2 linked regions of the Struthio camelus genome follow. The protein of the gene in region 1 purifies or fractionates together with the protein of each later gene. This does not show direct contact. Links are inferred from orthologs where the notes say so. Each region holds a gene or a part of one and is shown on either strand. Other genes may lie near its edges.

What was found. Proteins that work in one complex are often made in the same cells at the same time.
Region 2: the proteins of NUFIP2 (region 1) and ATXN2 purify together in Homo sapiens (affinity purification with mass spectrometry; 3 studies listed by BioGRID and IntAct, counting the BioPlex papers as one, with this or other methods). This does not show direct contact. The link is inferred for Struthio camelus from reciprocal best matches to the Homo sapiens genes NUFIP2 and ATXN2.

The regions. Positions count from the first base shown.
Region 1 is NC_090957.1:16,875,041-16,885,695, forward strand, and holds the start of NUFIP2 (FMR1-interacting protein NUFIP2), read right to left. Parts: upstream 4,778-10,655; 5' UTR 4,606-4,777; coding exon 4,419-4,605; intron 1,455-4,418; coding exon 1-1,454. UniProt on the Homo sapiens protein: Binds RNA.
Region 2 is NC_090958.1:18,288,325-18,298,346, reverse strand, and holds the start of ATXN2 (ataxin-2), read left to right. Parts: upstream 1-5,249; 5' UTR 5,250-5,363; coding exon 5,364-5,524; intron 5,525-6,532; exon of another isoform or gene 6,533-6,548; intron 6,549-10,022. UniProt on the Homo sapiens protein: Involved in EGFR trafficking, acting as negative regulator of endocytic EGFR internalization at the plasma membrane.

The DNA of each region.
Region 1 (10,655 bases):
AAGAATAGCACTAAGAATTTGAGGGCTAGTCCGTTTATCCAGCTCATAAGCCTTAGGAAACACAGGTTGTTCAGTTCCTGAGGGAATGATTTCAGCACACTGTGAAACCAAAGCGGCAGGATATTCCCCTTGAAATGTCACTTCCATTAACTGATTATCTGCAGATTTCCCCACGACAGTTTCAGGGCCGGCACTGGGCTCATTTATGAATGACAAGCCCCACTGATTCTGGAAGATATCTCCCAGGTTCTGCTGATTTGTCTGCGACGGGAAATCGACTTGTGCTGCACCCAGAAGCACAGTTTGCATATTTGAAGGGTAGATAAAAAGGCTAGATTTCTTTTGTTCAAGAGCTGTTGAAGTTGTACTTATGTCCTGGGGTACTGACTCAGAAGAGGTTGATGTTACAGTACTAGCAGCAGTTGTGAGCAGTGGCTGGGTCCCTGGAGAATATAGGCTTCCATCAGTCCCTGCTAAAATTGGCCCATTTGAAAAGCTAGCCGAAGTAACAGATTTCATAGCAGACATAGGGACTTGGGAGAGTCGACTTGATGTCTGGGCCTGAGTTTCCCCAGCAGATGACGAAGACGACGACGAAGACGTAGATGGGGTTTGAGCTGCTTTGTTGAGGTTTTCTTTAACTTTACTTGCATAACTTATTTTAGGAACGATTTTAGCACTGCTATTGTCCACTGGAAAAACTGGGGGTGGTTTAAATAAGGTCCATGAATCCTCTTTAGATGTAGCTGATGACGCATGCTTCCCTTTGGGCCGGTCATCAAACTTCTTGCTGCTAATTCCAGGTTTGGCATCAGAATTTTTTCGCTGTACATCCCCAAGCCCAGGCTTTCCCCGGCCTGCTCCACCAGCCCCAGCCTCGTATTTCCAAACAGGCTTAGTATTTTCAATTCGGGTCCCCTTTTGTTCACTATAATCAGGCTTGAAACCCTCAAGTTCCTGTTTTAAGGTTGGGGTATTAACCTCCTGTTGCATTATTTTGTCCTGTACTAGATTCAAGTTCTCACAACCCTTAGCACTGTTGCGCCTGCCTTTCCGTTTTTTAGGCGTAGTATATCCACTCTCGGAGCCACTACCATCATTATCTGCCCCTTTGCCTACGTAGCCATTAGTGATATAACTAGAATTATTGGTTACCACGCCATTTGGAATAGATACTCCCTCCGGCTTGTCAGAGGATTGACTTTCTCTAAGCTTATTTTCGTAGGATTTCTCATTCTTTTTGTCCATGCTATTTTTCTGAACGAAGTTCTTGGTTTTGATTCCGGCTTTCCCCAAAGCACCGGCCTTAACAGTCTGCTTTGGGGTCACATTAGTGTCTACAAGTTGCTGGCTGCCATTTGGTACCCTGGATCCTGGGTTGGTTGTTTCATCAGAGCACAGGCCCTTTAATGATACTTCTCTTTCTCCTGCATTACCATTTAGCTCCCCGTAGCCTAGAAGAAAGCCAAAAACAACAAAAGGCAAGAATTAGAATCTAAAATGTTAAACTTCTGATCGCAAAAAGCTGTAATCAACCCTTAAACATATCCAGTTTCCTCAGACATTTTAAAACAGGAAAACATCTAGCCTCTGACATATAAAAGCACATCCTTACTCACTGAAAGTCACAGTAAGAAGAGTTAAGCAGAAAAACACCAGCGGCTGTTGACTCTTCTCATACGACAGGGTGACATAACAGCAGCATGTTGATTAACGCATTTGATAACAACAAAACAAAGCAAAAGGATATGAGAGGACAGAAATATATATATATCGTGCTAAAGACCATTTGCAAGTCAGAGAGCCAGCTAGTGTTTCCAGGTCACACAAGAGGAAAATATTAATTCCCAAGATGCTACAGGACAGAGGGATCTGCTGCCTTTGCTACATGATTCACTGAGATTCAGCATCTATATTGTGAACAAGGGCCAACTTCTAACATCTCTGTCACCTCACAGACCTGCAACACCAGCAGTCCCCCTTCCCATCTCCCTCCTAAGCAACATCTCCAGTAAAAAAGCTTTCCAAAAGGATATGTGCAAGTTCAGGTGGAAATGGAGGGGGGGGAGGGGTGACAGCATTTCCTCACTTCATTTCAAAATAGCAACCAACACTTCTCTACACGTGCTCTTTAGCTTTGAAAAGGTGATAAAGCTGGGAAGAAACGCACCTCTGCAAGCATCCTTCCACCACCACTGGCAACTAGCCACCTGCCTGCTGAGAAACTTCACTATTCCACCGCGTCCTGGGGAGACGCAGCAAGAGACTGAGAACCAGGCGGTGAGGCATTTGCTGAAGGCCCCAACTCAAAATACAAGATCATGCTGTAAACTCAGCTTTCCTTTTTGTTTCTCAGGTGCGTTTCTAGTCTTTGTGGTTCTGACGAGAACCTCAAGACTGGAACTCAAGTGAAGCAGAAAGCCCAGGACAGTCCAGGCTGAACCACCTCATCCTTCTCAAGGCTATCTCCAGCCAGAGTCCCACTGAGAAGAAGGAAGAGCGTGCTGTACCCAGCTAAGCAAATACACTCCCAGCTGATGGGCTGAGAAGGGGGACTCCCTCCTATTGCACCGGCTTGTACAGGAAAGGAGAGAGATCCTTGCTTCTCCTCTGACTCATCTCTGTCCTCCTTTGCAAAGGTGGAAAGCCTCACATCTTCTGCAACAAATGACCCACCTAAGGCTTAATTTGCAGTTACAGTGGTGTCAAATCAGCACAGCGCACAAAGAAACCCCCAAACCCAGGAGCGGGCAAAATTCCAGCTTCAGAAAGAATGTTTTGTTGTTGCTGATGTCGTTTAACTCAACTGCTATACTAAAATTCATTGTTATCCACACATCCTGGAGTCTCAGATGTCTGGCAGATGTAACTGCTCAAGGAATCCTTATAGAAATTCCACAATGGAGTTTGCTGAGAGGGATCAAAAAGGATTTTACTATATGTAAGTATCTGTAATGACCATAACTTCCAAATAAGCTGTTAATAACATTACCCATAAATACTTCGTCACAGAGATACGAATGGGATGGGACTCTCTGATGACTCAAGGACTAAAAATTATTTCGGAGTAACATGCAGAGGAAGTCTTCTCAAGAATAACATGTAATAGATGACCTTGTAAGACTCAGGACTTCTGACATCACTAGTCAACGACACAAAACAGTAAGAACGGTCATAAGACCACTGCAGATGAGGAGCGAAAGACTAAAATGAAGAACACTTCAGTAAGTCAGTGTCAGCAGTTTCAAGTTCCAATTTTCAAGTATTCACAACTCGGCTGCCCGAGTTTTCTCCAAATCAACATTTGGCATAGCTGGTCCTGGCCCGGAAATAGAGGTGCAACAACCAATATTTTTTGGGGGGGGGAGAAGGATGTCCAAAAGAACACGTGAGGGGTATTTGGCAACCTCACAAATCATTTCATAGCTGGAAAGAAAAGGGGCATCAGTCTTAAGCATGAAAACCACGGGCACGCTGCAAACAGTGAAGCGACTACTCAAGTTATTTTTGCCCAATAACTTATTTGAGCGGCTGCCTGGTCAATCCCCTCCCTACTCCCGCTCCAGATGGCTTTACGCGCCTGGCCAGACTGCGGTTTCAGGGCACTATGAAACCTATTTCTGATAGGAGCCAGGTCCCTTCCCACCTCCCGGCTGATTATGCAAACGAAGATTTCAAGGGTGGGGTGGGGGGGTGGGGGCAAGAAAGTGCATGGCCTTCTGACTACTCTTTTAGTCTCATATTTGCTTTGAGCCCGCAAAACGTTCAAAGACCAAAAACGGTCCTTGCCTGCAGGCCGGGGCCGTGAAGTCAGGGCGCCGGTCCTCCCCTCCGACCTGCCCAAACCGGGGCTATGCCCCGCAGGCAACGGCCGCCGGGCCTCGGCCCCCTCCTTCCGCCGACCCCCCCCACCTTAACAACAAACAACAAAAAAAAAAAAAAAAAAGAGGATCGAGGCAACTTCTGGATTTCTCCGCTTTCGCCCGCCGGGCAGCCGGGAACATGCCAGGAGGGGCCAAGCGGCCGGGCGAGGCCCCCGCGGCCGCCGGCTCCGCAGCGGGCCCGAGCAGCGCCGCCGCCGCCTTATCTGACTCATTGATTTTTACGCTCATCAATTTTTAACCAGCGCCCCCCCCCCGTCCCGGTCCCCCCCCCCCCCCCCCCCGCGGCAGGGCCGGGGGCAGCGGCCGGCGGGGCCCGGGCGCGGCCCCACGTGCCCGGCGGGCGGCGGCGGGGCCCGCGGCGGCCTCGGCCGCGCCGGCTCCAACATGGCGGACAGGAAGCGGCCCCAGCGCGGCGGAGAAGCTTCCAGCCGGGCCGCGGGAGGCGGCGGCGAGGAGGAGGAGGAGGAGGAGGAGGAGGGGAACCGCCGCCGCGCGAAGGTCACGGGCGCCCGGCCGCCCGCCCCCCGCCCGGACCTGCTCTGCGCTTCGGCGCCTCCTGGTGCTGCGGGCCGCCGTGCTTGTGGTCGTGCCGGAGCGGCGGCTTGGGCTGGGCTCGGCCGTCGGGCGGCGGCAGGTAGGCGCTCTGCGGGTGGTGGTGGTGGCTGTAGTAGTAGTAGTGGTGGTGGTGGTGGTGGTGGTGATGGTGAGGCTGTTCCTCCATTGGGGGGTGGCTGGCGGGGCCGGAGAGGGCCGAGCCGAGCCGGGCCGGGCTGGTCGCTCGCTGCTGGGCCGTGCGGCTCCGGCGCTGGGACGCGGCTGGCGCGGGGGAGGCGGCGGCGGCGGACTGGCAGCGCCCGCCCTGCAATCAGCGAGCCGCCGCCGCCGCGGCCGCCCGCCCCCCGCCCCGCCCCGCCCCGCCGCCGCCGCCGGGGCCCGCCCGCCCCCCGGGCGGAAAGGGAAGCGCCGGCCGCGCCGCGGAACCGGCCCCCCGGCGTCGGGAGCGCTGCGGGCGGCGCTCGCTTTTTCCGTTCCCGTCGCTCTCGGAGCCCGGCTACGAGCTTTTCCCTTTCCTCCCACGGAGCAGCGTTTCGTAATCCTGTTCTGCGACTGGGCGACCTTGCATCCTGGAAATGAATGTCGTGTACTACTTCAGATTATGATTTCACTGCAGGCTCCAAGCGGAGGAGGAGAAGGGGTGGGAGGAAGCAAATCCTCCTTTTACCGTCAACGAGCGGATCGACCAAGCGGCCGCAGTGAAGCGAGGGAGGCAGCCGGGGTGCCTCCAGCAGGCAGAAGTTTCTCTGGGCGGCGTTGAACAGGACCACGCAGACGGGACACGAACAAGAACACTGTAAATTACTGTGTTTCCACTAGCAGTTACTGACAACTCCGGAGCAGCAGCAGCAGCAGCAGCTCCTCCGGAAAGAAGCTGAGTCCGCGTACAGGAACAAGCTTGAAGGAGCTGGAGCGTTCTGGTTTGCTCTAGGGCTCCACCAGCAGATTGCGGAATGAAAGCGCAAGCCGCTAAGCGGAGCCCGAGAGAGGAGCCAGACGCCGGCCCGACGCCCCGCTCGGCTAGTGCCACCGTGGCAGGGAGCGGAGGGGACCGCGGCCCCCGGCGCCGACCCCTGCGCCCAAACAGTTACGCAGCCCCAAGCCACAGCAGCGCTCCGTGTGGCCTGACCGAGCTGGTTCCCTGCCCCTGAGGGTCCACGTCCCTCCTCACACGTGTACAGTATAAATCCGGTGAGGAAAAAAGAGTAGAAAATGGGTTCCGGCACATACATTTCTGCTCATTTCTGAGAGAAGCGCGATTATCGCTTAACAAAAAATCACAGCCACTTTGAAAAGCAAGAGAGGGGAGTGGGGAAACGACCGGAAATTTGTTAAAATTCCTCATGGATTTTATACCATTATAAACATCTGATAACTCCCATTTGAGCACAGTCAGTGGAGCGTTCAGCAGCTCCATCGTCTGAACTCCTGCCTCTGCTCTGAACGCGCTCCAATTGCGGGAAGAAACAGCTCGCAAGATTTTCCCCTAAGACTGTCTTTCCTTCCCAGCTGCTCCATCTTTAACACTATGGTAGGGCGCAAACAGACCCTCCCTTTTGCCTCCAAAATTCTTCACAGATACCAGGCAGCACGGAGACAAAAAAGGGTCCGATGTGAACGCAGAGCGAGGAGGAACAGAAACGGGTTAATTAGAAGGGTAGGAAAAGGAGGGACGGGGAGACCTGAGACTGACATATATAGGCTAGAGTCAGAGGGAGAGTTCTGCTAAGACTTATTCACTACTCCAGTTTGATTAATTACCACCAAATATTCACACCGTGCACTGCTGCAATCAGGGAGGGAGGATGACAAAAGAAAATGTGATCATGTAATTAAAGACTGTCATAACTCTTATGAAGAAAAGAAATACATGGGCTGCACAGACAATCTTAAAAATAGTATTTCCTAGCTTCTCATGGCTGGCACTTGCAGCTTTAACACCTCCCCCTTTTTTAAGTATTGTAATAAAGTAAAAAAATAAAATAAAAAAAGTTTCAGTGTCCAGAAAGCCCTATCAGACTTTGGCTCAGACTTCTGTTGGGCACTGTATGAAAGACAGAGTGCCTGCCCCAAGATTTTACATTTCCCAAGTTTTATTTCAACAGAACATAGCTGAAAGTTTATGCCTCAAGCACAGCTTCCCATCCCCACTCCACCCTCTATTTTAATATGTAGGAGGCAAAACTTTTCCTACCAGAAATCCAAATCCAACATTAAATTTGGGGTGCCTGAAATATCATGAGTTTTGTGCCAAACTGTACAGATCACATTTCTTTCAACACAATGCAAAATGATTTAAGATGTAGTGAAACAGTTTAAGCAAGCAACTGTGAAGTTTAGGCTTTACCCACACTCTCAGGAATAACGGTCCTTTCAAACACTGACTCATAAAGTGACCTCACATTAGTTAGGAGACAAGTCTTAAAATGAGGAGTCAGACTTTAATCACAGTTGACATTTTATTGGTAGCTTGGAAGAATTTAGTTTTAATAGTAAGAACTGGCTTGAAGAAATAAACTTCAAAAGACTGAAGAAAGCAGCCTTAATTACAAACAAATCATCTCTATGCACAAGCATATTAGAAATGTAAACACAGAGAGTAGTGGTTTTCTTTACGTGAAAGACAAAGTAACTATTTTGTTTCTTAGAAACGTGGTGGTGCCAGTACTACATTAGACGTATAAAGTGTGCAAAAACAGATTTAAAAAATCCAAGGTAATACTGAGGCTTGTGGTCCATCAAATGAAGCACAGGCACGCCAAGCTAGCGAGGCGGCTGACTGCACACGGGTCTACGAGGTGGGTCACAGCCCTGGCGCTGCGGAGATGCAGCCTAGGGCACCACAAGTTCCAGCATGCAGTGCTGCAGCTGGGTTCGAGGTGTCTCTGAAACATGCTGGGATCTGTAGTCTTTACAGGCTACGCTTCCTATTAAGGGCAGTAGCAGTTTGTTCATCGTTTGGAAATGTCATGCTCTCCTTTCAAGTTGTCTTTGTTAAGAGTTACATCCAGCCCTCTCCCATCATTAGCACAATGTTGCACCAAACAGACAAGATATTAATGTTCAGCAGTTGTTAGGGCTATGATCTCCACAGCTGCTTAAAAGGGAAACCGGAGACTTAATGCCTCCTCATCTGCAGCGGTTTTCTTCCTCGCTGCTCTTTGAGTTTGGCAAGTCAGCAGTGCCTCATGCAAAGGAAAGAGGTTATTTTTCTTGGAATTCCAAATCCACTGCCAAGTATTCCCACATCCTGGCACAGAAGTTGGGCAGAACCAGCATAATTTCTAGCTTAGTAACTCAGAATCTTGTAAATCTTTGAAGTATATGACTTTTCGGAGAACTTGCCATTAAAAGCTGCAAAATGAAAGCAGTAAGGAGTGAATCAACTGCTACAGGAATCATGAGAAAGTTCTCTGGAGAGTCTGACCCTGACTTGAGATGGGTTTTGAATTCATGTTAAAACGTAGTTAAATTTGGAAGCCATTCCAGGGATTTTCTAAGAACAAATAATTTCTTTCCGAAGGCAATCCTCTTTACGACCCTAAATTTATTCTCCAATAAATGTTTGAGGTTACGTTAAAACTTTGAAACTATAAAATTAATCTATCTGTAAAATGAAAAATGCTGGCTTCGTAAGATTTCTTGTGTCCGTCTCCTGCTTAAGGCTCAAAATATGGAAACATGAAAATTACCACAGTTATAGATATTGGTAAGAGCTCTTATACAAGGTATGTGTGGCATTAGTTTTCTTCTTTTTGCCAAAATGCTTTCATTTATGGCAAGTATTCGGACTTGCCGAATGCTCTGCATTCCAGAAAGCCCAGCATAGCAAAGCACTCAATTAGATGCTTAATTTCAGGTATGTTCATAATCATACTGATAAAAACCTTGCAGCAGCTGGCCCCTGAAGTCTAATATATTTCAGTACAATGAAGCCAGAATTTACCAACCTACTTGATATTAAAATGTTAGAAATGTGAAAGACTGACATTTCAGAGGAAGAAACAGTTTGGTCAGGACAGATCACAGGGGTGACAGCACTCCTTGCAGTCTTCTGCTTGAATAGGGGTACAAATATCCTCACTGAGTTCAGTATACTGTCATTTGGAATTAGGTTCAGGTAAGGTGGAGCCTCTCCTTGAACTCCATTTCTGTACTTTGCTGTGTATAGTAGTAGTAGACTTTAGCTTAGAGATCTTAAGAGAAGGCAACAAAATAATTTAATCCCTAAATGAATTGCAGAAATGGATATTGTGGACACACCTGTCCTATCACTAACAGCTTAAGCAATTCCACCTAATAGCACATGCTGAATTAGGTTCCCCACCCCCCCCCGGCAATAAACTTAATTTTCAAAAGCCATAAATACACTATGTTAATCCTTCATTCACTCCCAAGAAAAGTAAGGCAGCTCAGCACCAAAAATAACCACAGGGCATAGTTTTGTGAGACAGCAAAACTGACGTAACGGCTAGCTACTCCCAAAAGGGAAGGTCATCTCCCCGTTCTGCCTGCTTGCCTCTGCCCTGCCCTTGCATCAGCACTGTTGCTTCTCTGACCCCGGGTGAGCCAGTTTGAGAAATCAAACTAAAAGACCATTCTTCAGCTTTAAAGAGAGCACACCTTTCCCCCTTAGTTAAGCTTCCTGAATTGAGAGAGTTGTTCTTTTTCTCCTCACTGAGAGGAGCAACTCAGCAACCGAGGAGCAACTCAGCAACTCAGGAGTTGCATTGTACAGCCAACCATGCTACAGGGATGAACCCCTTCTGGGAACTGGGCAGTGGTGACACAGCTGGTGACACCGCTGAGGGTTGCAGCCACTTCAGCCATGTTATTTTATTTTGCTCATATTTTTGAGTCAATCCCCTCGAGTGCCCAAAGAAGGATGGTGTGACTACCCTTCAAAGTGTTCTGCAGAAGCTATAACAGGATGGCTCTAACCAGTGGGACTTCTTTCTGATGGCTACAGTCATTGTTTAATAGGACTAGATCCGAGGAATCTCTCCTGTTTTAAACACATTGAAGTGTTCATACAAGCACGAGTAACATCTGCTGCCTAAATCGACATGAAAAATTGTTTACTAGAGTGCAATCATGTGAACTGGAGGCAGCTTCTTGGACATACATATGAAACAGCAGAGGAGGCAGGCTAGCAGGTCAGCCTCTGCCAAGTCTCACATCATTACTTGTCTGGAATTTCAAAGAATCCTGGCTCTGGGATTTCAGATAGTCCCAGATCCCCCCCTTACTTTCCTAGGATCACCACAGGGACCACAGAGAAATCAGCACAAACACTTTCCAAGGTGCTCTTCCAATAACTGCCCTTTTGCCGGCTGCTCTGCTAGGACCCAAGTGCACACGCAGTCTGGATTGACTTATGCGTGGGACTGTGTCAGTCACTGCTTGCAGTGGACTTTGACCTCTGGAAGACAAATGAGAAAAAGCTCAATCCACAAATCCCAAGCACTTTTTATCATGTTATACGACAGAACAGTCACAAGGTCACTAGTCACTTCCATTTCTTTCTAATTGCATTTGGATACCAAGCACCTACTATTCTGAAATAGGGACTTTTTTTTTTTTTTTTTAATATATATCGAGTATGTATGTATCTAGCACATGGAGGCTTAAATACATGTGTCTGGACTCAGAGTTTGGAACATAAAAATGCCTAGTACTGGCAGAACACTGAATCTGTAAGGGTTATTCTTTGAGTTAGTATTATAATTGCTATTTCATTACGTGATACATGGCAATGATAGTTGACTAAAACATCAGGGATTGAGAAAAGCTCTTGTTTGAAGCGGAATTAAAAAGACTGGGACCATTCACCTCAGAGGGAGCAAATCAAAAAGTCCAGAGAAGGTATTACAAAATGCATGGCCTAGAGATAAGGTGAACAAAAATTCTCAAACTGTTATCTCAAAACATCACAGGAACATGAAGGCAAAAAGAAAAATGGTAAATTAAAAACAGATAAGCAACCACCTTTTAATGCTTTGCATAAAGTATATATAAAATTCATTGACGCGCAACATTCTGAAGAGCATGCCATTATTAGTATTCCTAAAGGATGGGCATAATTCAGCTGAAAGCAAATGTGAACATCTAGAATAGAGGTTTTAGAAGGGTTATCTAGCACAAATCAGCTTCTAGCTCTTTGGATTTTAGAGATTTCTGCTAGATACCCAGCATCCGAAGAGCTCAAATAGAAGG
Region 2 (10,022 bases), on another chromosome or scaffold:
GCCCTGCTCCCGGAGGCGGCCTGAAGTCTATTACTAGCAGAATATACCGCACGGATGGGGGCGGGGGCTCCTGCGTGGGGAAGTGGAAGCCCTTTCCCTGCGGATGGAGCTCCTGCTGGTGCTCCTGATTAATGCAGGCAGGTTTGCTCGGAAGCCAAGCTGGCTCTCCAAAATCGATGATCTGAGCCTCAGGTATAACATGTCTGAGGAGGGAAAAATCTGTGTGTCTCACTTCCAATTTGTCTGATGATTTTAGCAAGGAGCTTTTGAGAACAGGAGAGAGAATGCCAGAGGTAACAAATTCAGCCCTTTCCAAATACTACCACATGCCAGTCATCTGCCAGAAATGTAAAACAAGACTGTGATCCTAAATTTGTCTTTCAAATGTACCTGTGCCCGTTCTGTAGTATTTTCCCCCTAATCACTAGGGATTAATACCGGAGTGCACTGAAACATCTGAGGTGATGGGGCACAGCGGAAATTCCTCGGGGGCTGGTAATAGTAACTGAAAGCTGTTCTGTGAAGCAAACCTGATGCTGACTTGGTTTTTAATGGACATCTGTCTGTAGGGACAAAATGCCATGGCAACTGGCTTTCTTGTTGGCATGCCAATCTCAGCAAAGGGATAGGGAGAGGATGAGCACTGAAGGGTCCGTGTGATAGTACTTGGGAAATGCAGAGGTACCGCTTGACAAGGCTGTGAGGTAAAGGTTGTTTATGCTCTCTGAGCACCAGCTCTTGAGGGATTTAAGAGCTAAATCTTGGCATAATGATTGCTTTGTCTGCTGCTGCTTAGCAGGAGTTAGTCTTGGTCCCCCCCTCCCCTTCATAAAAATGCTAAATCTAAAAGCAGAAAATGCTAGGCTGAAGATCACCTGGCAGTTTGCTTGGCAGAGGCAGGGGCAGAGTCACTGTCTTCCGATGTGCAGCTATGTCCCAAAACACTTGCCACAGAGCTAGCGTGCTGTTGTGTGGATCCCGGAGCGTCACCTCCTAAGGAAGGAAATGTTCTCTTTTGGTGTCTGAGGCCCATGGAAAGTGAGAGGAAGGTTCACTAAAATGTTGCTTATAAGTAAAACAAGCTCTGGCACCTCTGTACCCCCTCTCTCAAGCTCTGCAGACATCGCCATTTTCCTTAATCTCCCACTGGTGGCAGTAAAAGCGGTTGGCATATGCATGTTTCGGCAGGCCTGTCTGTCATCTGCACCCTATCTGAACTGGGTTTGAGGAGGAGTTAGTGAGTTGAAAGCTACTGTCTGGCCCACGTTAGCAATGCTACTATGTGCTGCAAGAAGTGCAATGGCATGGGTAGTACTGGGAGGAAATAGTTTTAACAGTGCAAGGGTGGGTCAAGAGGTATGTTCGATGGGAGCAGCTCTCCACCTGGAATCCAGCTGTGAATTCAGGCACTGCAGGCAATGAAAAGACACTATATAGAAGTTGGGGCGGGGAGGAAAGTCAGAAAAGAGTCAGCAATAGGCAGTAGTTGTCTCATTTGGTAGGCTTCTGAACTTGCGCTTTGGTTCTGCTCATTGTTGTGCAGATACCTCTTTCTGGTTTGGCAAGTATTGAATTAATCAGTTCAAACTGATTGCAGCTTTGCTGACTAGCTAATATCATATCTCTCTGGGAAGTGCTTCTCTTCTTAGAGGACCTGATTTGTTTTCCTAATGTCTTTCCAAGTGTTTGGAGATTCCTGTGCCTGTAGCATCGTCAGCAACACTTTAGCCTCTAAGAGTAGGATTAGGGATAATGGAAGTAAATAATAGAAGTCTTCAGGAGAAAAAGAAAAAAGTGTAGAAGTACCCAGTTCTGTGAGCTTCTCTGACAGTTGATTTTGCTTAAAATAAATGTCAAGTGCTAGTGTTAATTGTCCCCCCATAGGCTGGCATGTTTCATCTTGTTGAATACTGTTGAGGATCACCCTGGCTGGCTCAAGGAAGAGAGCACAATACCTAAAAGCAGGTTATGTCAAGGAAATATTACCTCATGTAGCAGTTCTGGGTAAGTCATGGTATTATCAGAATCATTAATCTTCATATGCAAATACAGCTTGCACATGTAGTCACAAATCTAAATGAAAACAGTAGTCTTCAGAAAGACCTGGAATAAGAATGGAAACAGCAAAATATAATGTGATTCTTGAATAAATAGTTGCTTTTCTTTCTTGACCAGGGAACGTACAAATTTGAATTCTGAACTTTTCTACAGCTAGACCATTGGAGCCACAGACTGTTGTCTGTCCTTTGCCACAAATCATTTCCAGCTAAACTAGCAGATATAATGGTAGGCAGTAGCAACAAATAAATAAATTCAAATCATAAAAAGATAAATATGGAGTGCCGGAAATTGCAGGACCTTCAAGAACTGTATGCAGGGAGAGGAAGTAGACATCACAGGTAAAGGGAAATAGATGCCATAATGCCAGTATAACTCCCTTTCACTGGAAGCATGAGTAGTCTGTTGCAGAAGTGAACACACAAGAGGAAGGTGAGAAGCAGTATTTGTACAGGCAGTCACAAAAGGCTGCCACTGGATTCAGAGACCTAACTGCAGATCCTCTAATGGACGTTAGTATCTGAGCTATTTTAATGTGGTCATTTCTATATTTATTTTCAAAGTGTTTGTATGAAGATGCTAGACAAACAAAGCAGGGAAAAACACAACAAAAGCCAAACAGAGCTTAACAAAACAAAGAATACATTACAGGAGAAAACAAGTCAAACTGCAACTGCACTTGAGTCATTACTGCAGATATGAACACGAGAGTCTTATTCATACAACTGCTTTCCAAGTATGTAATGTTACCCCAACATACAATTTAATACAGTCATGTCAGCTCTTAGAAACTATCTCTGCCAATTGAACCTATTTTAGTTCTTCTGACATCCTTGAATATCAGGGGCTTCATCTTAGCCAGTGGGATCCCACAGCATGGTTGCCACTTCAAAATGCTGCAGTCTCTTTAAAAGTTCTTAACCTTTAGTCACATAAATAGTGACTAATTGCTGTGCACTCTAAATACTCTTAGCTGAAAAAATATTGAAAGTAACTTCCTTTACATCTAAAAAAAACTATTAAGTGATCTGGATATGTTATGCTCAGTTGTCTCTTACCAGACCTTCTTGTGCTTTTTTTTTTTTTTTTTGGTAACTTTCCCTTAAAATTCAAAGCACACTGATAAAACACATCCTTGACGAAGTAATCCTTTTTAGCTGTAGCTTACTTCAAGATCCAAAACATGCCTTGAAACTAAAGCAAGTTCCTTACCTGCTACGTTTCTTGTATTGTGGTGGTGTGCTGAGGCCCTCGGTTTGGGTTCCAGTGGCACCAAGCAAAAGACGTACAAGACTTTACAAACAGTACCCTGAAGCGCTGGGTGAAAACTTTCTGTATGCTAGCGCACAGAGAGATAGAGACGCAGATATATAACGTATGTGAACAATACATGTATATTCAACTTTACAAAAAGAGGCTTGTTTTCTCGTAGCTTCTCTGAGGTAACCTTAGCTATCTAGTAAGGGCGGTGAGACCGATTTCTGCTTTTACAGTAAATGGTCCTAAAGCCTGTGGTAGCCTTAGCTGCCCTCACACTTTAATACGTCCTACAGAAAATCTCGGACTGCTGAAACTCTTGATATCCTTGGGGGGTCTCAGTTCTGTGGCTGTGAGACAGCAAAGAGACAAGTCGGTTTGATAAAGCGACTGGAAAACCTAGTTTCCATAAACTGCTGGCTCTGTTCGGGGAAGCATTTCCAACTGAATAATTCTTTCTTCTGAGCCCATTTCAGCTGGTATCTGTCGTCTAGTTAATAAAGTGTTAACCACAGGTTATTTGGGTAAAACAAAACAAGTAGTTTAACAGTGAAAAGTGTAGGGGAAATGCTAATTTGAGAAAGCTGTTAAATATTGTTATCTTTTTACTATTGTGTGTTGCCACCCACAACTCTTCCAACCGCATGGGAAAACTATTGCTTTACAAGCAAGGTGTATAAATAATGCCTGCCTAACAGCATCGTTCCTTTTTATTATACCTGAATCCTGCGGGAATTCTGGAGCCTTTCTATGAATAGATTAAACTCGAAGCATTTTGAGTAACCATGGCTATAAATCAATTTAGCTCATGTTTGTGAAACTACATCTGCTCTTGCTAACCCTGCATGTACATAGATTTTTAGCAGGACAGACCACACTTTGTGTTTACGTACTGGCATGGACTGGGTTCGCTCCAGAGCCCGTGAAGGCTGCTTTTTCAGCAACGCAGGGACAATTAATGAACCAGAGCTGCCCAGTGCCTGCATTTTGAGTTTTATGCATGAAATTTGGTGGTGTGTGGTAGGTAGAGTGAGCCTGCATTTTGTGATCATATACTTTTTTTTTCTTTTTTTGGTCAGTTAGGGTTTGACTAGAGCAATGAAAAAAAAAAATCCCAGAAATCTCTAATACCGGAGGGGCTGCCGGTGCAGATTGCGATAATCCCCCCCCTTCCCCCGGCTCCATCTCTGGCGCGTTTCACTCGGTGACTGCGTACAATGGCTGTGGGACGTGATCGTTTACCGGTGAGGGAATTTAATGCCTTTGTGCTCAAAGGTGAGAAAAATCGGTTAACAACTTCGGTCGCCAGCGCAGGGCGCTGAGGTAACTCCCGGCCGCTGGCGCAGCTCGGCCATCTTCCCGAGGCGGTCGCCTCTCCGCCCCCGCCCCCGTCGCCGTCCCGCCGGGCGACTCCCGCCGCCTCTCGCCGGCAGCCGTTGGCGGCAGCGGCGGGCAGGGCCCGGGGGCGCCGAGCCGGTTTCCTCAGCGCTTCCCGCCACCGCCGCGCTGAGGGGAGCGGAGCGGGGGGGGGGGGGGCGCGCTGCGCTGAGGCCGGGGGGGGGGGGGGCTGCGGCGCGCGGAGGGCAGCAGCCGCCGGCCCCGCGCCGCCGCCTCACGTGTCGCGGCCGCGCTCCCCCTCCCTCCCCGCCCCTTCACCCGGCCGCATTACCGCCGCGGCCCCTTCCGACTTCCCGTAAAGAGTCCGCGCCTGCCGCCGCGCCGCTCGCCCGCCCCGCCGCCGCCCGGTGCCGCGGAGGAAAGCAGCGGGGAGGCCGCTGAGAGGCGCCTCCGCCGACTGATCGACCGGCCGCCCGCTCGCCGCCGCCTCCCACCTCACCCGCCTCGCTCTCCCCCCGCCCCCCCCCGCGTCAGCCGGCCTCCCTCCCCCCGGATCCCTCCGCGCCGCGCTCCGCTCCCTCCGCCCCGCTCACACTGTTTGGGAGCAACCGGCCGAGACAGCGGCTGCCCCCGGCCCCAGCGAGCGCAGCGAGGCCCCGGCGCGGACCCGGCCTCTCGCCCCAGTCCCCCCGGCCCCTCTCCCCCTCGCCATGTCCCTCAAGCAGCAGGCGGCGGCGGCGGCGCAGGCCGCCGGCAACAACCGCAAGCCCCCCGGCGGCGGTGGTGGCGGCGGCGGCGGCGGCGGCGGTAGCAGCGGCGGCGGCCCCGGCCTCCCGTCAGCCGCGGGCGGCGGGAGGCAGAACATGGGCAGGTGGGTGCGCGGCGGCGGGGCCGTCCCCGCCGCGCCGGCTGAGGGCACGGCGCGGCCGCTGCCGCCATCCCCTCCCCCCCCCTCCCCCTGCACCGGCCTCCATGGGCGGCGGCGGTGCGGCCGGGAGGGGGGAGCGGGGCCTGCTGCATGGCGGGGCGGGTTGGGGGGGGGGGGAGCGGACGCGGCCTGGCCCGGCGCAGCGCGGCGGGGGGCTCCGCCCGGCGGGGGGGGGGGTGAGGGGGGGGGTGGGCGGCATGGCGGCGGGCGGAGGCGCCGCGCCGGTTCCGCAGTGCCGCCGGGGCGAGGCCGGGCCGCCGCTCAGCAAGGCCGCGGCTGCGGTGCCCTTCAGGGGGACGGCGGGCAGGGCGGGCCGCGCCGCACCGCACCGCGCCGCCGCGCGGGGACCATTTTCTCGCCGAGCGCGGCGCCGGTGGTGCGCAGCGGCGGGCCAAGCCCCCGTGGCGGCGGCGGCGGCGGCGAGGCCTGCGGCGGGGCCCGGCGGGGGGCGGCCGCGGCCGCACGTGCTCTCGGGGCGAAGCCTTCTGGGCCGCGGGCGGGAAGGTGGCCGGGGAGGGGGTCGCCCCTACTGGATGCTGTTAACCCCTGGGGAGGGGGGGGGTGTCTTAAGCGGGGGCAGCACGTCTGCATTTTAAAACTGTGCGAACATCTGCCTTTCGCAGAGCGCCTTTTGCCGACGGGATTTTTTATTTATTTTATTTTATTTATTTTTTAATCTCGATAAAATATCGTGCGGAGCCCCAGCAGAGCAGTTGGAGCGCTGCTTAGCGTTATGGATGGATCTGATTTAAGTGATATATGCTGGATGTGTCATCCAAACATGAGTTCATTTTTTTCCACAAATTTAGGGGGGTAAGGAATCAGGGTTTCGCAGCAGGCTTAGATTCCTCTTCTCTTATCTCCCCCTTCCTATGCACACTCCTGAGGCCCTACTATCTTCTGCTGCCTCTGGAAGATTGATGCTGCTTATGTTCCATATCCAAGAGCATGGGCTATAGAAATTCACGTATGTTTGAGGGAGGAAAGAGGGGAGGGAAGAAAACAGACCTTCTGGTGTTCTGAGTGTTTCTAATGCTCTGGGGGGTCATACAAGCAAAGCAGGATGGTAACAGTGTTGAAGGTCATAGTCTCTCAGAGCAGTTTCATTTTAAGTTTTAGTCATTATTTTTTTGCTCTCTAGCTTGACTTTTATGTTCCTAGTCAGTTTTGTGCATTGGCAGTAAAAAAGAATTTATTTACCTTGGTCCCATTGTTGGACATCACTAAAAACAGGGTTTTACTTTGTCACCAGTCTGTGGAACTGGAAGTGGAAAAGCTTTAGTAGGGCTGAAAAAGAACAAAATAAACGGGGAAAAAATACTGAGACCTCCAGCACTTCATTGAAATGATTTAACAGTTTTTATACATGGGTGTCTAGATTGAACACTTCATATTTACTGTTCTTTGCTAAACAGTTATCCTTGCCAACACACAGCGGCACTGTGGAGGTTAACATGAAGGGCAACAAAGTCTACAGCTTTGTCTGAAATTTCAGTTTAGTTGGTGAACGTTGTCTTTATAGATTAAGGAACGCAAGCTTCAATTTCTTTGTTAAGTTAAAATTAAAGCTATTAGGTAACCCTTGGAGGAGAAACCTTTTTATTTTTTCTTGGCAGATTCTGTTTCAAAACTTTTTAGGAACTGACGTGTTCTGTCAGAGATGGTTGCACCTTGTTCTTTGTTAGTCAGTTCTTCAAGTAATTTCTGAAAAAGGATCTGTAAAATCTTAGTCTTAGAACTGATAGAGCCTTGTGAAACACCTTCAGAGAACTCTTCCTGTCACTATCCTAAAGAAAAGTCTTGATCTTTTTGTGGAATACAAATTTAAAGATGGTTCATACAGCAAATTTGTTCGTACATGGCTCAGGTGAAAAGCTAAATGAAAAATCAATTTTATTTTAGGTGATCTGCATCTTGGTTTCAATTTTAAGTGTATTTTGTTTAATGGAAACTTAAACAAGCATCTCCAGTTTATGCCAAGCGTTTTTTCTTAGTAGTTCTGCAACTTACTGCTCTGCAACGCTAGCATTCTTTTTCTTATTTTCTGGAGATGCAAAAGAATGTTTCTTTTCTTGGCTAAGCGGCTCTTAAAAGTTTAAATTTGGGTAGAAATTTCATTGGCAGTAAACTGTCCAAGATAGTTTATGATATATGCTTATTACTGTAAGACTTAATTGAGCCAAGCACCTGGTTCTTCTACATCTGGTGATGAGTTGGAAGGTCAGCTTTGCTTATTCACTATGCTGGTTTCCATCATCTTGTCATGATTAATATATGTTTTTCATATTAAAAAAGGGAAGATCTTGTGTGGGTGAACAGGCAATCCTAGTATTCATGCTTTCATTATATTATCCTTCCTTTTGTATTAGGGGAAAAAAGTCACAAAATAACTTTGAAGGTGTTAAAAACAAGAAATATGTAATAATTCTTTTGTAAATAGGCACTCAGTGAAATGCTGTGTTTACTTAGTAGTAGCTGCATGTGGAATATGGCAGATGGAAAATCAGGTTGTAGTGGGGATGCCAATAGCATGTTAAACTGTAATTGGAGAAAATGCAAACCTCATAATATGAACCTGCTCCACTGTGCTGGTCAAAACATTATCTAATATCTACTTTTAGTGTTTAGTTCATTCTAGCCTTATCTAGCCTTATACAAGCATAGAAAGGTTAGCTGTTCTGTGATTAAAAATTGCATCTGTCTTAGTATTCCTTCAAGCAGTGCATCCTTTTCTATTTCCATTATTTTCCCATTGGTATTTTGTCTGAAGGCAAAACATCTCAGGCCAAGGTTTTGGATGGTTACGTGTGTAGTTACAATTGTGGCAAAAGGTCTTTTCCCCTTGCTTTTGTAACTTCCTTGCCTAGTTGGACCTGAGAGTCCTTTAAGAATACTGTAAATTACTCTTACAAATTGCTCTACCTATTGACATGTTAAAACTGAAATTATCCCATGTTGTGTAGCTTGCTTTTGAGATTTAATGCTTAATACCTGCTCCTATTTTCTTTGTCCTTGACAACCTTTTTTATTAGACTAACTAAAACCTTTTAAGTAAAGGGCGGAAGAGAGGTGTCTGTTCTGTTCAGGTAGAAATAATTGGGAATATCAAGTATCAAGGCTTGCTGAAATAACGAAAGTGGCTATTCTGGAGATTTGGTCACCTGTCATTCAAAGTTAATTTCTAGTTCATTCCAACATCTTTGTGTGTGTTGTTTTTTAGAATTACTGCAGTGATTAACTCTAAGATAATCTCTTGGACAGCAATTTCTGGAAATAGAAATTATTCCCTTGATGTGTCTTGTATTAGATACGTACCTCTGACTTGCGTAGTATGTACTTCTAAAAAGGAACCTTGTTGGCAACCTCTTCATTTACAAAACTATCTGTCATCTTTAAAGTTTCTGACTAGAGTTAATTTCAGTTAATTTTAGATTCTTTCTCAAGGTGTGTTGCTGAATTCAATGAAGTGCTTCTGTCTTGCTATTTCAGATTCCGAAAGGAAGCTGACTTTTTTTTTTTATTTACTTATTTTTCTCTCAGTGCTGCATTAGGTTTAGCTTGTTAACATCATGAAATCACAAAATTCTTTGTATAGCGGACCTTATATGTATACATTTTTTCAGGCTTATATAGCCTTGGAATGTTATAAACTTGGACCTCCAGTGTTAAATAATCCAAAATAGCTGTAATGCAGCTGTGTTAAGCTATTGAGCAAAATTAATGGATAACCTGCAGGTGTCTTTCCTAAGAGCAATGGATGCCTTTTTTTCCCCCCTTTTTTGTGTGATATTATTTATCCACTTTTGTTTAAGTTTTAAATTAACAACTGATTTGTGGCAAATACGTGAAGAAGGTTCTACGATGACTAATTCTGTCAGCAGGCTACAGAGTGCGCATTGGGTCAGGTTTGATTCAAATATGCTTGCCTAGTTAGAGAAGTTGCCTTCTTATAAGAAGGCAAGGATTGGCATTGCTAATGTCAGCATAGGGAAAAACTCCTGAAAAGTGTGCTGTAGTACTTCTTATATGATCTAATTTGACAGCTTGAGTTCATTTCTATCTTATGTAGACAAATGTTGCTCTTAAATGGGCTGTGAAGTTTGTCTCTACTTATGGTATTTATCCTCTAAAGGAAAATGCTTTATCAGTTCTGTGTGTTTACTTGTACTGAAAATTCTCTAGTCTCTTGTAAATTGTTTTCAAAGCTGTAGGAATGCCAGTCAGTACTCCGGGAACATTTATTCACTCTGTTAAATTCAACTCTAGTTGGGTGTCCGCTGTAGACTACTGGTCATCTCCATTAACTGCACTATGGATGTATCTGTTTCTTGTTTCTTAGTCTCAAAGCGAAGATGTTGCTAGAGAGAAAACTTGAGACCTTTTGTGTCCTGGAAAGACTTGCATTCCTTGCTTTAGTTTTCACTTAACTAGAAAAATATGA